Linked DNA regions of Caenorhabditis elegans. The protein of the gene in region 1 interacts with the protein of each later gene in a pairwise test. Each region holds a gene or a part of one and is shown in the gene's direction. Other genes may lie near its edges.

Region 1 (7,718 bases):
ATCAAGATATTTGGTCATTTTGGGACCAAAGGAGTGGTTTCAACAATTTCCCCACTGGCGCTACTCCACCTTTAAACACGAAAAATTCCGAATGTAACAGTAAAAATTAAAAAATGTTTCTAAATTTTTAATGATTGTTTGAAACTTTGAAAACATTTAAAAAATAAGATAATTATTTTTGATTTCCCATGCAAATGGGTAACGTACTTTGTTTTGTTTTCTGGCTAAATGCATTGCTTAAAAAAATTATCTTCGATATTATTTTTCCGCGAAGAAAACTTGATAACTTGAAAGAAATTCATAAAAATAGATAATTTCACCTGAATTATTATTGTTTCAAAGGAAATAAAATGTCTGAAAAATCAGGAAAATCTAATCACTCATTTGCGCGGGTATTCACAAAAAAAAATTATCAAATTATTTTAATTTTTAATTTGATTTCAAAATTGATAAAAAAATCATTAAAAAAATTTATTCACATTTAAATTCCGTCATCACCGCCCATTCTCTGCCATTTAAAGAAAATAATCTGCAAATACGCGTAAGGAGGAATTCTTATCAGTTGTACAAATGAAATATGTGGCTGAAGGTTCAAACATTTCAATTTTTTCTATAATACTCAAAGTTGTAAAGAGTTTTCTGTTTATTGATAGAGAGCCTGACCCTTTTAGTTTTGCATTAAAGTTTTTTGTTACAGAACCGGCATACTAATTTTAGTATTACAGTAAAGGGTATTTGTGATTTATATTCCTACATTTAATTTTAATTAGTAACTGCATCATTCATTTAAAATGTGAAGAGTATTTTTATTGTAAAATATTTAGTAAAAAATATTTTCAAAAGTATTGAAAAAAAAATGAGCATGAGCAGATGAAACTCGTTCACCTGCAAACCTATGTTTAAGACACTGCAATGAATGGAAAGAGTAATTTCTTATCATCAATTCTTCCTATCAGTTACATACAATAATTTAAAGCGCTTTTCGACTGCCGCAAAATATTGATTAAAATTCGAGAAAAATGAATGTTTGTGATGAATCAAGTTGTGAGAATAATCGGATAAAAATTTGAAATCACTGTGAACCTAACGTTTCACAAAATGAACACTTGTTTTCATTTGAATTTGGTGAAAAAACTTACGTAACTTCAGAAACTAATCAGCTACGCAAACTTTGAATAAATTTTCTGAAAGTAAAACTTAAGATCATGTTTTAAGTTTTTTCATAAGAAAAAAAAAATACTTTTTCGTTGAGTTGGAACAGTTTGAATATGCAAAACTACTGTTTTCAACTGAAAAACGCAAAATTTACTTCAATACTTTTAAATTCTCAGTGAGATTATGATATTCGGTCGTTTAAAAAAAAACAACAAACCAGTATAAAATGGCGACTGCGGTGATTTTCAAGACATTTCTAATCTCCGTATATGTTCCCATCAGAATGTACAGCGAATGGGCAAATGTGAGTTGTTGTTTACCGGTAACCTTATAATCTGAAGCCGAGGAAAATTCAAGGAAAATTTAAAATTTATTTTCGGAAAGAGCATAGTCGAAAACCTATTCCGGTGAAATTTCAGACAAGTTGTGCATATAGTTTTCGATAAAACTTCAATTTAATCAAGATTTTACACTTTCTGCTTTTTAAAAATAATCTGGCACGGTTTGAGCACATTTTTGAATGGTGCGGTGCGGACGCGTTGCGGTCGCGTTAAGGTGCGGTTGCGTTGCGGTTGCGTTGCGGTTGCGTTGCGGTTGCGTTGCGGTCGGATTTTACAACTAACTTTAGCATTGAGATTCAAACTTTAAAAACTCGATTTTTGAGTTTTCCGTCAATTTTTCTGAAATTTGAAACCCGTAACGACTATTTTCAAAGAACTTTGAAATAATTTAGTGATGCGGCGCGGTCGCGTCGCGGTCAGACTTTTCAATTAACGTTAGCATTGAGATTCAAACTCTAAAAACTTGATTTTTGAGTTGTCCGTTATTTTTCTGAAACTTGAATCTCATGTTGATTATTTTCGGTAACTTTTGAAATTTTTAGTGGTGCGGTGCGGTCGCGTCGCGGTCAGCCAAATTTTAGTATTGAATTTATTTGATCTTTTTCTGGGTTTTCAAATAATCTAGCACGTTATTGTAGTTAATCTAAATAATTCAGAATGTTTTGACTAAAAACAAATTTCTGACAATGTTCTTAAAAAAAATGTGTTCTAATTTTCTCGTGGTGCTGTTTGGTCTACAAAAATGCGGGAAAATTTTCCCCAAAAAGTGTGACGTCAGCACGTTCTTAACCATGCGAAACCACTTGAAAAATCTGCGTCTAAATTCCCGCATTTCTGGTAGATCATAACGAAATGGGACATTCTGACACCACGTGATTTTATGGAATTTTGTGAAATGAGTTATTCATCAACTGAGAATTTTGAAAATTTTGAATAAAATTATAATATTTTCAGTTGAAAACTATAGTTTTACAAATTCAAACTATAATATCTCAGAGCCAAATTTGCAATTTTTTTTTGAAAAATTACCAAAAGTATGCCCAAATGTTTCACTTTCAGAAAGTGTATTCAAAATTTCTGTAGCTTATCGGATACTTAAATTACGTCAATTTCAAAATTTTCAGTTACTCGTCTGCGTCGTAATCGTTGCTATCGAGTATTACCTACATATAATAATGTTGGATCAATTCAATGAGCCATTCACGCCCACGCACTACACTCTACTGAAAAGAGCCAAGGCAACAACTGCTCAGAAGCTATTCATAATTATTTTCATGGCCTTAACCGAGGCCTATTACATAGGCCGTTGCTTCATCAGCCTGGTCCCCTGGGCAGATCAGGAGGAAGCCTATGAGATTCGCGATGTAACCCGATTTATCCTTCCGATCATCAATATCTTATCGATTCCCTTGATCTACGTGGCTTGCTTGGCCTATTACTCTGAAGAGGTTGCGTTTAGCGAGATGGTGCCCGACAATATGGTGCTGAGGAGAGGAGTGTGTAGTTGGGAGAGGAAATCTCGAAGATGGATATATGAGGAGACGATTTTTAGTTTTTAGTATGTGGTTTAAAATTCATAGGTTTTTTTTTAATATTTCGTTGATTGTGAGCTATATCTACATATTTCCTTGTAACGGAATAAATAATTAAATAATTTTTCACACAATTTTGGGAAAACTGAGGTCACCTTTCCCGAGGTGCTCAGAGGAATGCGATGAGCAGGTCGTCAAAAAAATCGATAAAAAGCAACAGAAGGAATCTTCTGTAACACAAGGTATTCATTCTTTGTGACTACTCAATATGTGCTCTTCTGAGACAATTGTCAAGTTGAATGTCGGCGGATCTGTATTCGAGACGTGGAAATCGACACTGACCAAGCAGGATGGATTTTTCAAAACATTAGTCGAGACGAATATTCCGGTTAGTTTGTTTCTTTTTTCGCCAACTAGGAAATCATGTCCAAAAATCAAGTCTAAGTCCAGTCCAGGCCGGTTTGTAAGCCTATATATTCTTAGTGAAATCATTTGTGGCCCGTTCTCCAGATATAACAAAAAAGTCAAATTTTTCAAATTCAGGTTAAAAAGGACACTTCCGATTGTTATTTCATTGATCGCTCTCCAAAGTACTTTGAAACTGTGCTAAACTACATGAGATCCGGTGTTACAGTACTTCCAGACTCTGAAAAAGAACTACAAGAACTGAAAAAAGAAGCCGAATTCTACTTGTTGGAGCAGTTGGTAGACTTGTGTGAACCTATAAATAATCAAATCCGAACTTATCGCTCGTCTCATGAATTGCTGCAAATCATCGCCAGCACCAAGAAGGTAGGTGTTATTTATTTTCCCATATGTATATATATATATGTATATATTTCAGTTTCAGTTATATATATATATATATATATATATATATATATATATATATATATATATATATATATATATATATATATATATAAATATATGCTATTTTAATATCATTTTGATATCATTTTCAGCCAGTAGTTGTGATTAACTACATAACCCATAATAACGATATCATATACATCCCAGAAGGATTTCGATTCGATGAGTTTGTTAAGAAAAACAGTTCAGTGGTAGAAATCTATTTTCGTGAGTTTTTTGGATTTTTTTCGTTTTCGGAAAATTTTAAAAAAATCATTAAAATTCCGAAAATTGTAAGTTTTGAGGATACTACACCGGCCTGTAAATGTGTCTCTTTGGCGAAAACTAGCATAACTTTAGAACCTGATTAGCTACAAAAATGTCAAATATATTTTCTGAAAGTTAAATTTACAGAGATATTTTTGGTAATTTTTTTTAAAAAGTGCCATATGTTTTCTTAGAGATATAACAGTTTGCATAAATAAAACTACTGTTTTCAACTGAAAAACGCAAAGTTTACTTCAATTTTTAGAAATTCACAGTGACAACCGTAATTTTTATTTTTGATTTTAATATAGAAAATGACACAATTGACTTATTTTTTAAAATTTTATAAAAATTAGATTAAAAAATTTTTGGAAAAAAATTGACCTAAAAATGTTTTTTCATCGCAATTTGTTGAAACATGTCTGATTAATTTATTTAGCGTATTTGTAACAAATTACTTAAAATTATTTTGCAGAACCAATGGATAATCGAGAACCTCTGCCAAAAGATTTAAGGAGACATCGCGGAATGAAATATTACCCTGAACCAGTTTGGAGTTATCGCATCTACAACAGTACGCATTCAGGTTGCGTTGATTTAACAGCTATGGATGATCTACAGAAGAAAATCGATAGTATTTTGAACGGAGAATGAATACCCACATATTATTTAATATTTCAAATGCATTTATCAAATTTTTTACATTTGTTTTATAATGAAAATTCTCGAAAACTTCTCAAAAAGGTACGGCGGCGTCTAGAAGTGATCAACATTTTATTCATAAATTCCCGATTTTCACAGCCTCCCATTAATATATTTCTCCAATTTATCAAAATTTGTAAATGTTTTAAATCCTTTAATCGGAGAGTACAGCCGATAAATCCATGATTGGTGACCTTTATTGACTCCATCTTCACGCCGAGATTTATCAGATTCATCTTCGCATTCACATTGTTCTGAAAATCACTTGTAAATTATTCGACCAATCAGCGCCCGGCCACGCCCACTTTTCGACCAATCAGGTCAAAAACTCACTGAAATAGACATCCAACTTTGGATTTTCGAGAACATATTGAAAATTGAAGGATTCTGGAGAGTTCCAGAGGTGATCATTGTGAACTGTATAGCTGATCACAAGAATTGCTGTCTGAAAAAAAAAATATTTCGAAAATTTGAATGAAGCGCCAAAATTTTCGGCTATGATCATTTTGTGGGAGGAGCTTATCAAGCCCTGCCCCTTTCTTGGTCAAAAATTTTGTTGGGAATCAAAACTGCGAACAAATTTTGACGTTATCTTATAACCCCCGCCCACTCAGTGGGCGGAGCTCACCCCGCCCGCCCATTTAGTGGGCGGAGCCAATCCCGTCCCGCCTCTTTAGTGGGCGGAGCTTGTTAAACCACGCCTCTTATGTGCTCCAAAATATTTCAAGGAACTTGATTTTTGAATTTCGTGCTAAACATTTTAAAGTCTAGAAGAGAACAATTGGGTGTGGCTTATTAAGCTCCGCCCACAAATGGGCGTGCCTAAAAATAATTTTAAAAAATTTTTTAAAGAAAATTCTATAATAAGTTATGAACATTCAGAAAGTTTCAGAAAGTGCCAGAACATTTCATAAAAATTACAAAATCAGCTGAAAACTGTCAGAAAGTTTCAATGAGCCCCAGAACATTTCTGAAATTTTTTCTGAAAATTCTATAAAATTTTTTAAACATTTAGAAAGTTCCGGAAAGTTCTAGAAAGTTCTAGACCATTTTAGAAAAATTTATAAAAGTTATTGAAATTGCTGAAAAATTTCAGAAAATTACAAAAAAATTTTCCAAAGTTAATTTCGTCACATGAACTACGGAGGCCCAGCTTACAAAAGGGGCGTGGCCTCTAAAGCCCTGCCCACTCAATGACGTCATCTATACCTTTTTGCAGTTTGCAATAATATGAAGAAGCTCCTCCGAAGTTTCATATGACCGAATTTTAAGAAAAGAATCACATAGGTCGACTAGACCGTCTAAAAGGTAAAATTCGGCTTCTCTTCTCACTTCTTGCAGTTCTCGTTCAAACTTTGGAAGTTCCACGTCATCACCTTCTTTCAGATATTTTAGAATCAGGCTGAAATTTTTCGGGGACCGATCCACAAAAATGCACCCGGATTCGTCGATTGAGACCTAGAATGGAACATCTCTGAAGTTGCAGGAAGTTCTAGAAAATTCCAGAAGCTTTGAGAAAGATTTCGAAAGTTGTAGAAACTTACAAAACGTTCCAGAATGTTTCAGAACATTCTAGAAAGTTCCAGAAAGTTCCAGAAAGTTCCAGAATCTCTCAGAAAAATTAGGAAAATTTTAAAAGTTGGAAAATTAAATAAAAAATAAAATTGAAAGTTACCGGAATATCACTTGTGAGCATAGTTTTGAAGAAACCATCAAATTTAGTGAGCTTCAGTTTACACGTCTCGAATACCGTACCACCGATATCTAGTTTAATGGGCTCAACTATGGAATCCATTTTGGAAATCGCTGAAAATGAGCGAAATTTGAGGAAAATTGCAGAAAATTGTAGGAAGCTGTAGAAAGTTGCAGAAAATCTGAGAAAGTTGGGAAAGTTCCAGAAAAAAAAAAAATTTTTCAGACAGTTTCAGAACATTTCGAAAAAAAACTCAGAAGACTTCAAACATTTTTTTTCGAAAGTCTAGCAATTTTCTGGGAATTTTATAAATTTGCAGAAATTAAAAAAAAAATCAAAACTTTTCGGAAAACTTCTGAAAGATTCAAAAAACTCTAGAAGTTTTCTGAAAAATTTTAGACATTTCTTAGAGAATTTAGAATGTTTCAACAAAGTTAAGAATGTTCTAAAAGATTTGAGACATTTCAAAAAAAAAATCAGGGAGTTTCAGATAATTTTGTAACATTTTTAAAAAGCTTAGAAACCTTCAGAAAGTTCCATTCCGGTCAACGTTTTGGAATATTGCCAAAATTTTGAAAAATATGAGCTGTTGAGGAAATTTAAAGAAATGTCGCATTTTTCGACCCCTACAATGTTTTGATACAAATAATTTAAACAAAATTAAAACATAAAAAATGTAGAAAAAAATTGTTTTTTTGGTGGATTTCCAAAATTATGAGTGGCAAAAACCGAGTAATTGCCACTTTTTGGCAGTAAATAAAAAATTTTCAAAAATTTTTTGAAACGTTTTCTTATGATATTTGGCCATTTTGGAACCAAAGGGACTTAAGTAGCAATCACAAATTATCTAGTTCAGAAACTGCCAAAATTTTCAAAAAAAAAAACAGATAATTTTAAAAAATTCCAGAAAATTTGGGATAATTTTTTAGAAAATTACAGGAAAACTTATTATGTCATAGGAAAATGGAGAGAGTTCAGGTAAATTAGAGAACATTTTCACCAATACCAGATTAGCCAAACGTTGCTCTCCCGCCGTACTTACTGTGAGCAGATGGTCAGGAAAAATCGATGAGCTCAGAGGGGGTCTCTTACACACTAACGGTCAGATGAACCCAAACCCGGACCATTTTCTTCCATTGAGACGCAGACAGGTTAAGACATCCATCAGACAAATGA
Region 2 (8,801 bases), on another chromosome or scaffold:
TGACGCTGTGAGCACGATCTTCAATCAACTTCTTCTTCCATTCGTCGAGCAATCAGATATACATCGCTTCGCTTTGTTCCTTCATCCTCTTCGTCATGGCTCTGATCTCCTTGCATCAGCCGACTGGATGAAAATCAAAACTGATTTATCCAGTCATTTATGTTGGTTTTACTACTTTTAAATTTTATATTTAAAATAATATTTCAGCTCTCCGTGAAGCAGCTGAAGCCACTCTTGCACATCCATCGTCATTCGACAATACGATAACTGCAGATGTAAGGAAAAATTATTTGAAGGCGCACGAATTCATTCTGATGGGTCTCGTCGCGCAAAAAAGTTTATGGTATTTTTCTTTAATTTTTGTGACTGCTTCCTCGTTTATTTTCCTTACGGTTATTATGTAGTTTCTAGCGATTTTTGCCGTTTTTATTTTTCTGTTAAACATGGTTTTAAATATGATTTTCTAACCTTTTGTCGGCCGGAAAAATGTAGAAAACTGATTTAAAACAATGTTCAACAGAAAATTTGAAAAACCACAAAATTTGCCAGAAATGAAGTAATTTCCTTGAGAAACGAGAAGGTGACCGGAAATATAAAAAAAAACTTCGAGACCTATCTGTATAAATCTTCGCTTTTTTAGGAAGGCATGTCAACATTTCTAGAAATCACGATATTCATTCCTATGGTATATATTTTTACAGAAAGAGGTCAATGCGTTCTCACAGTATGTGTGCAGAGTTACTGGTGTTGAAACTGGAATCATGGATTGGTGGGCTCGTCACGCCGGTCGCTTCCCTCGTCTGTACAAATATGCCAGAGAGCTTTTCATAATTCCAGCGTTTTCGATTGATGCCGCTTATTATCTCGGGTTAGGAAATTTTATTCGCTTAATTTCAATACAGTTGACATTTACAGAGAGTACGGTATCCTTACACATTCGATCAACGAATCAGATATCTCAAAAAGGAAAATGCTACTTCGTGCAGCGAGTGAATTAGTTGAATATCGGTAATTTTAATTCTTAGATCTCCAAAACTCATTATTATTTTATAGCTCGAAGGGATCTTTGATGTGCAAACCAATTTGCGTAAAGCGAAGAAAAGACGCCAATTCTCCTGAAGATGCTTGGTATCATGCAATCGATGTGAGAGCTCTACAGATTGTAGATGTACCATCAGACGAGCCTCCAAAACGAATGATTCCTCAACGAACGCCATTTGTGTATCAGAATCCAAACCCACTTCCACCGCATCGAATTCTACAATCGTTTCCCACAATTCGAACAAACAGAGAAGCACCACATGGAAGAAGTCTGAAAGATGAAATTGCAAAAATCGCTGCGAATAGACAGAAGATTCAGAGAGTGTACACTGTTGCTTCATCATCGCCGTACGCGAGGCCTGTTGTCGTTAAAACCGAATCCAAAGAGGGCATTGTTGAACAACTGACTCCATCGGCTCCTCCACCGAAGAGGTACTACGCAGTACGACCTGCGGCAGGCAATGGAACAAGTGTGATTCGCGGAAAAGATGGTCAAGTATTACGAGTTATCAGAAATACCCCTTCGTGAGCTGATCAATTAAAAAAAGAAAATATTCGATTTTTGAAATATCGAAAAAAAATGTTTCAGAAAATATTTTTTTTAAATCAATGTTTACGTTGATGAGAAAGCATAATAAAACATGAATATTTTCTAAAAAGCAGTGAAATTATTAAGAATTTTGAGCTATTTTTTGAAAAATCAAAAAAAAATTTCGAAATATCAGAAAATTGAAAGTTTTCGATTTTTCAAAAATTAAACAATTTTTGGTTTTTAATTTTAGTGAGAAATCAAACAACCGACATCCTTGTATCAAAGGTGTCGCCATAAAATGTTCGATTTTCCGGTATTTCTCATAGAAAATAGAAAAAGTTGTTCGGTTGTTTTTTTTTGGAAATAAAATTTTATTCAAAAAAAATACGAGGAAAGTATGTATAGATTTATCTCTCAAATCAGAGAAATGACATTATTCATAAAAATGAAATGTTTTCCAAAAGATCGAAAAACAAAATGTTCGATTTTTTAAAATAAAATTACATCCTTTCTGCTGATACCATTATTAACCTAAATTAAATATATTCAACTTTTCAGAGTCTCCTTCAACTTAAACACTCCTCTGACTGCATCGAAAAAGATGTATTTCATTCGTACAAAAACTGGTGTTACCCATCAGCTACATCAACCTCCACAATAATCCCAGCTCATACATCTGTACCTCAATTCACTTTAGTTATTTGTCACTAGTTGGTATTTTCATTGTTTTGTTTTTGTTATGCTACTTGTTTCGATATATCCGCATGTTGTTTCAAATTGACTATGCTAACGTTTTCTTTTCTCATCGACCAGTTTACTTCCCTGTTCTGTTTAATAGTTCTCAATCATGTTATTTTTCTCAATTTTTCTGAAGAGTATCTTATCATTTCTTTTTTTCTGTATTCCCAACTCACCTTGACATTTCTGAATTGTTGACCCAGCAAGAAACTTTGCATACCCTCTGACTGGTATTTCATATTTTTGGGAGAAAAAAAACGTTTCGAAAATTTGTGAATTATTATGTGAAAAAAAAAAAAAAAAAATTATCCTATCGCGTTTTCCTTTCTGCATCTAAGTCTCCAATGAGTCAGCACAAACACATTGCGAAACATTTTCTGTCTCTTTGGTATAAATAGAGAGTTTCCTCTCTTTGAAATGATTTGAAGGTTTTACTGATATCAACGTTATGAAATTTAGTCATCTCGTCGCGTTTCTTTTCGAAAAGTTTTGAATATTCAACTTTACGTTTTTTAGTTTTGGAAATTTCAGTGTGTTATTTCAGTTTATATAATGTTTCTGAATTTATTACAACACAAAATTATGAAAATGCGTAATGCGCTATCTGACTATCTGACGCGCAAAATATCTCGTAGCGAAGGCTACAGTAACTCTTTAAATAACTACAGTAGCTGTGGTGTCGGTTTACGGGCTCGACTTTTGAAACGTATTTATTCTCGAATAGTGATAAATAGCGATACTCTATTTTTCTTCGTTTCTTCGTATTATTTTCTCATTTTTGCTTAATATGATAAATTATATCTACATGATAAGTCAAAATGATCCCGTAAATCGACACAGGCGCTACAGTAGTCCTTTAAAGAATTACTGTAGTTTTCACTACGAGATATATTGCGCGTCAAATATGACATTAATAATATTTACAAAATACAGATGTTTTTTAAAAATATCTTTGTCTTTAGACAACTACTGCTATAATCTCTCATGCGTATATCGTATATTCGTTGAAATTTTAAAATTCAGTTTAAAGGCGCACACTATTTTTCTGTGTAGGTCTCGCCACGATCTCAGCTATAGTGATCGCTACAAGCTTCAAATTTCATGCATTGGTTCATTTAATGTAGAAATGTACGACCAGTTAGAAAAATACCAAACCAATATGTTGAATAAATTAACTTCAAGCCAGATTTTCTACAGTAAACATTAAGATTGTATCACCGTCCGTAAATCTATATATTCTTAGAAATGCAGCGATATTAATGATTAACAACAATTCGTGATATATACTTTCGTTATTTTAGAATTCCTAATATTTGAAAATACACACCTCTTAAAAAGAGTCATTTTCAGAAATGACCACCAACCCATCTGTCCACGAGTTCGAGACTCGTGATCTTAAAATTGCCGAGGTGAAAGTATTCACTGATAGAGCTGAAATCCGTCGTCTTGTCAAAGTTTCATTGAAATCTGGTGTCAATGAAGTTGTTCTCAAGGTTTGTAGAATATGAACAAGTTTTTCAAGTAGTTTTGAATTTAGAACCTCTGCAAAACAATGGCTCAAGGATCAATTAGAGTTGAAGGAAGAGGAAATGCAATCATTCATGATGTAGTTATTAAGAATGTTTCTCGTTTGCCAACTGAAGCTGATCCTCCAAAGGTTGGCAAGATAATTAAAATTCGAAAATATATTCTTTTTTTTAAGATCACCAATCTCAAAGCTGCCATTCTAGAGGAGAAAAATCGCCTCCAAAAAATCACAGATCGCGGAACGGTTGTCCAAAAATGCGTTGACAATTTGGACAAAGTTTTCGAACAAGTTGGTGGGGGTCTCGTGAATCCACCAAAAGATGGTGTTGCTTCTTTAAATGAAGGAACTTTGGAAAGTCTTACAAATTTCTTCCAATTCTATGGGAGCAACTCCGAATTATACAGAGAAAGTGAGTTTAAACGATAAATTTGAGATTTTAAAAAACTTAATTTTTTTTTCTAGAACTACGATCAGTTGAAGCTGGACACCGTGAGCAACAGGAAAAAGTTTCGAAACTGGAAAACGAGTTACGAGCTCTAATGCACAATTTGAATGAAGAAGCGTTCTCTCAGTGAGTTTTTGAAAAGTTTAAGGTGGAATTGTGCCAGTCGGGGAATTTACCAAAATATACTAAAAATGGGGCAAAAACAACTTTATATGTCTTTTCAAATCTTTCTTAATCTTAACTCAAACTTTTGGCAACATACCAAATTTTGAATCATTTAAAAAATTTGAAAAACTATCAAAAAACCCATAAAAATTTGAGGCGCACAATGAGCTATGCTTTGCTTTCTATGCACTATTTATTTTCAAATACAAATGGGATTACAGATAGATTTGAAGATATGCAAAAAAGCATCCAACCCTAATAAAAATTCGAAATATTATAAAGAAAAGTTCCATATGATTTTCCATCTATTTCTAGAAACAATTTATTTTTTGAGTCTTATTGTTTGACATTGTTAAGCTGTAGTATTTAAGATCACTGTTTGCCTATCTTCCCAACAAATTGATAACTTAATTTTAGCACTGCCACAATTACTTTGGAATGCACAGAAGACCTGGAAGCTGAGCTGAATGTAGTCTATCAAGTGTTAGATGCTTCGTGGCATCCATCATACGATATCCGAGTTGACACAGAGAAACCATCCATGAGCATTACATACTTTGGAAAAATCCGTCAATTCACAAAGGAAGATTGGACTTCTGCACCACTTGTTTTGTCAACTGCTCAGCCATGTCTTGCTGGCAGAATTCCAGATCTTGGAACTCTCGAAGCAACCTTCCGTCGTCCTGAAGTTCAACATTATCAAACAAGATCGATGAATGCATCAGCCTCATTATTTGGGGCGCGGGGACCGCAGAACCGTCGAGCCGAAACACTCGGATTTTCAGATGAAGTGACTTTGGCTCCACCAATGGCTGTCGCTGTTGCTTCAGAAATCACCCAAAACACGTTGAGCACAGAATTTAAAATTCTCAGAGAAGCAACAATTCCACACGGTACTGATGAACACAAAGTTACTATTGGAGTTGTGACTCTTACACCAAAACTTGTTCATGAATCCGTTCCAAGTAAGAATGCTGCAGCTTTTCTCACGGCTTCTGCTGTTAATACTTCTCAACTTGCACTCCTGGCTGGATTTTCATCTGTCTATCTGAATAATGCATTTGTCGCAACAGTAAGATTTTTTTGTTGAGAAAATTGATTTAAAACAAATTAAGTTGCTGAAATAACCAAATTTTAATAGTAAGAATTCTTCTATCGATTCAATCTTGTTTCACTCTGAACATACAAGAATGATCTGAATCTTTCAACAAAAAAAAAGAAAATTTCAAAACTTGGAAATTTGTCAAAACTCAACTAGAAGTCATTAAACCTCTAAAACATTGTATAATGAATGATATATGAAAATATTTAGTCTCATTGAATCAGTTTGAGTATATTTTAATAAAATCCAACTTTTAGAGTCACCTGAAAAACGTGTCACCAGGTGAAAGACTCACTTGCTCTTTGGGAGTTGACACGGCAATTCGTGTGGAGTACAAGCCGGCAAAGAAGTACCATGAGGAAGGAGGTTACATCACCAAGCACTCTGCAAATGTCACGGAGCAAACAATCTCCATCAAAAATACGAGAAATGAGCAGCCGGTGCTCCTAACCGTGAAGCATGCGATTCCACGTAGCACTGACGAGAAGATCCGTGTGAAGCTAGTTTCACCAGCAGCTACGCCATATGATGCGGAGAAGGCTGGCACTGAAGCCGAGAATTCTGAGCCTGTGGAAGGGGCAAAGTTCAATTCCAGCAATCACTTGGAGTGGACTATAAAGCTGGCTCCGAGCAGCTCAAAGGATCTGATCATCAAATATGTGGTGGAGCATCCAAAAGATGAAACTGTTCAATATCAAGAGAATTTCTAAAGTACATCCAACAGTGAATTGATACTTAAATGAAGTCGTCTATCTTTTACAGAAATTTTTGTTTTACAATTTTCCCATTTCCGTTTTATCGGTTTTCATTTTTTTAATGTTTTTTTTGCACTTTCTTCACCTCTAGTTATAATATGCCCATCGAATAATCTACGCTTATAGATGGCATCAATTTACGAACTTGACATTCGAAATCAGGAAATCAGTGGAATTACAATTCTCAGTGACCGAGCTGAAGTGAAACGACGGGTACCAGTTAATTTGAAAGCGGGAGTTAGTGAGATTTGTTTAAAAGTGAGTTTCTTTTTTTGAAAATCATTTTATTGAAATTCCAACACTTTAAATCTCAACTTTTGAATAATTTACATACAAAGACTAATATAAAACTCATTTTGTGTAGATTATCTTTCTGAAAAAGTTGTATATAAAAAATTATAGTAAAAATGAGCCAAATAAAATAAATATTAAAAAGAACATTTAAACATTATTTTGAAATTGTTTTTGAAACCTTTTGAAATGCTGGTAATTTGCAAAAATTTTGACTTTTTGGTGTATCAAAATGGTTACGCGGAGAACTAATAATAGTTTTGCAATAAAAATCTAAAAGTTCATAAAATAGATTGAGTTATATTATGGGATTTCTATAATTATTTTTTTTTTAATTATTATTTTCAAATCTTTAAAATCGCTATCAAAATATTTTCACGGCGTACCGTACCTAAAAATTCTTCGCGTTTAAGACCATTAGCCATTGTCGGGGAGTTTTCAAATGTTGCCAAGAAAGTTAGAGCTCAGCAGCATCTTTGCAACTTCATTGAAACTTACAACTGTTAGTAACTTATTTTGTAAGTTAACATTGAATTCCTACAATATATAAACTAATGAAATGTTTATTTAAAACTCCAAATTTTCAGAACTTCTCTGTATTTTTCCAAAGTGATTCTATTAGAGTTGAAGGTCGTGGGAAAGCAACAGTTTGTGATGTGAACGCTAAAAAACTCCCTTCTTTAAACTCAGAAACTGACTCCCCGAAGGTAAGTAAAAAAAAATCCCTGTTACATAGATTTTTGAAGCTACTTATGTATTTTAGATTGCCGAGTTGCGAAGTGAGCTTGACAAATACAATGCAATACGTAATAATCAAGAGGATCAGAGAGATATATTGAAAAAGAAAATAGGTGGATTAGAACGGACAGTAGGAAGAATTGGAAAAGGAATAATGAATCCTAAAAGAGAATCCGGAAGTGTTGTTATTGATGAGAACCTGCTGACAGGACTTCAGAAATTGTTAGATTTTCAAGAAACTGAAATGAATAAATTGAATGAACAGTTGCGGGAGAAAGAGCATGAGATCCTCAAAACAATTGAAATGGCGAGTAAGATTGGAAATGAGTTAAATCGCTTAGTGAATAGCGGAATTTCCAATATGTCTCAGTAAGTTTAAATATAACTTTATGTATCAAAACGTTCAATAGGACAGTTTGAAAAACGCTGAAATATTTATATTTCTACTTTGTTTAGTGCCTACAACTTACCAGAAAAATTTTTTAGGACGTGACAGTATCAAAATGTTTGTTGAAACTCAGGAAGTCTAATTTTCAGCACGGTCTTCATTACACTTGAAGCTTTCGAAGATGGCGACGTTGAATTGGATATAACTTATCAGGTTTTTCAAGCTGGGTGGCAGCCGTCTTATGATATTCGCGTGGATACTGAGAAACCAACAATGGCTATTACATATTTCGGAAAGATCTATAACCATTGTGGAGAAGACTGGAACGAATTTCCAGCTGTTTTGTCGACTGCTCAACCTAGTCTCGGAGGACAGATTCCTGAACTAGGTGTTCTCGATGCTCACTTCTACAGACCTGCACTAAAGATGAGGCGACAACGTGGCCTGAGAATAATGAATAGAAGAGGTGGGCCTCGTATGTTGTCCAATTATTCCAACGAGATTGATGATGGTGTAGAAGAAGTACTTCAAACAATGGCTCCACCTCCAATGGAAGTCACAAAGAACACTTTGAGTACAGAGTTTAGAATCGCACGGAAAGCGACTATTTTAAACGGTGTAGACGATCATAAAGTGACTATCGGCACTATTGAACTGATACCATCACTTTTACATCAAAGTGTTCCATCCAAAAATGCATCAGCGTTGTTGACAGCTTCAGCAGTCAATACTTCTGTACTGCCACTTTTGAGTGGTGAAACTTCAATCTTTTTGAACAATGCTTTTGTTGCAAAGGTGAACGATTGTATCAAATTTTCATAGTTTTCTCTCAAAAATATAATAGTGTAGGATCCCGTTAAACAGATGCTTTCCAAAAGTGCTCATTTCAGGAGTGGGCGGCAATTGCCGTTCGGCAAATTAATTTGTCGACAAATTCGGCAAATCGGCCAATTGCCGATTTACTGATTTGCCGGAAATTTTCAATTCCGACAATTTGCCGGTTTGCAGATTTGCCGGAAATTTTCATTTCGGCAAATTGCCGATTTGCCGTTTGCCGGATTTCAGATTTGCCAGAAAT

The links. The genes of interacting proteins can lie anywhere in the genome.
Region 2: the proteins of C40A11.7 (region 1) and ZK1055.7 interact in a two-hybrid assay, tested with the Caenorhabditis elegans proteins (one large-scale study listed by BioGRID).

Annotation. Positions count from the first base shown.
Region 1 is NC_003280.10:2,145,889-2,153,606, reverse strand, and holds C40A11.7 (BTB domain-containing protein), read left to right. Parts: upstream 1-3,055; intron 3,056-3,178; 5' UTR 3,179-3,296; coding exon 3,297-3,416; intron 3,417-3,571; coding exon 3,572-3,820; intron 3,821-3,993; coding exon 3,994-4,108; intron 4,109-4,622; coding exon 4,623-4,801; 3' UTR 4,802-4,875; downstream 4,876-7,718. Other genes in the region: C40A11.8 (G protein-coupled receptor), read left to right, coding at 2,672-3,055; C40A11.2 (BTB domain-containing protein), read right to left, coding at 4,943-5,103, 5,183-5,294, 6,059-6,307, 6,525-6,644.
Region 2 is NC_003283.11:6,600,236-6,609,036, reverse strand, and holds ZK1055.7 (Protein F37C4.5), read left to right. Parts: upstream 1-3,661; 5' UTR 3,662-3,663; coding exon 3,664-3,804; intron 3,805-3,848; coding exon 3,849-3,968; intron 3,969-4,013; coding exon 4,014-4,248; intron 4,249-4,301; coding exon 4,302-4,410; intron 4,411-4,866; coding exon 4,867-5,521; intron 5,522-5,808; coding exon 5,809-6,261; 3' UTR 6,262-6,301; downstream 6,302-8,801. Other genes in the region: gon-14 (HAT C-terminal dimerization domain-containing protein), read left to right, coding at 1-161, 208-275, 702-868, 916-1,008, 1,054-1,566, 2,132-2,234; ZK1055.6 (Protein F37C4.5), read left to right, coding at 6,433-6,564, 7,185-7,304, 7,361-7,704, 7,873-8,518.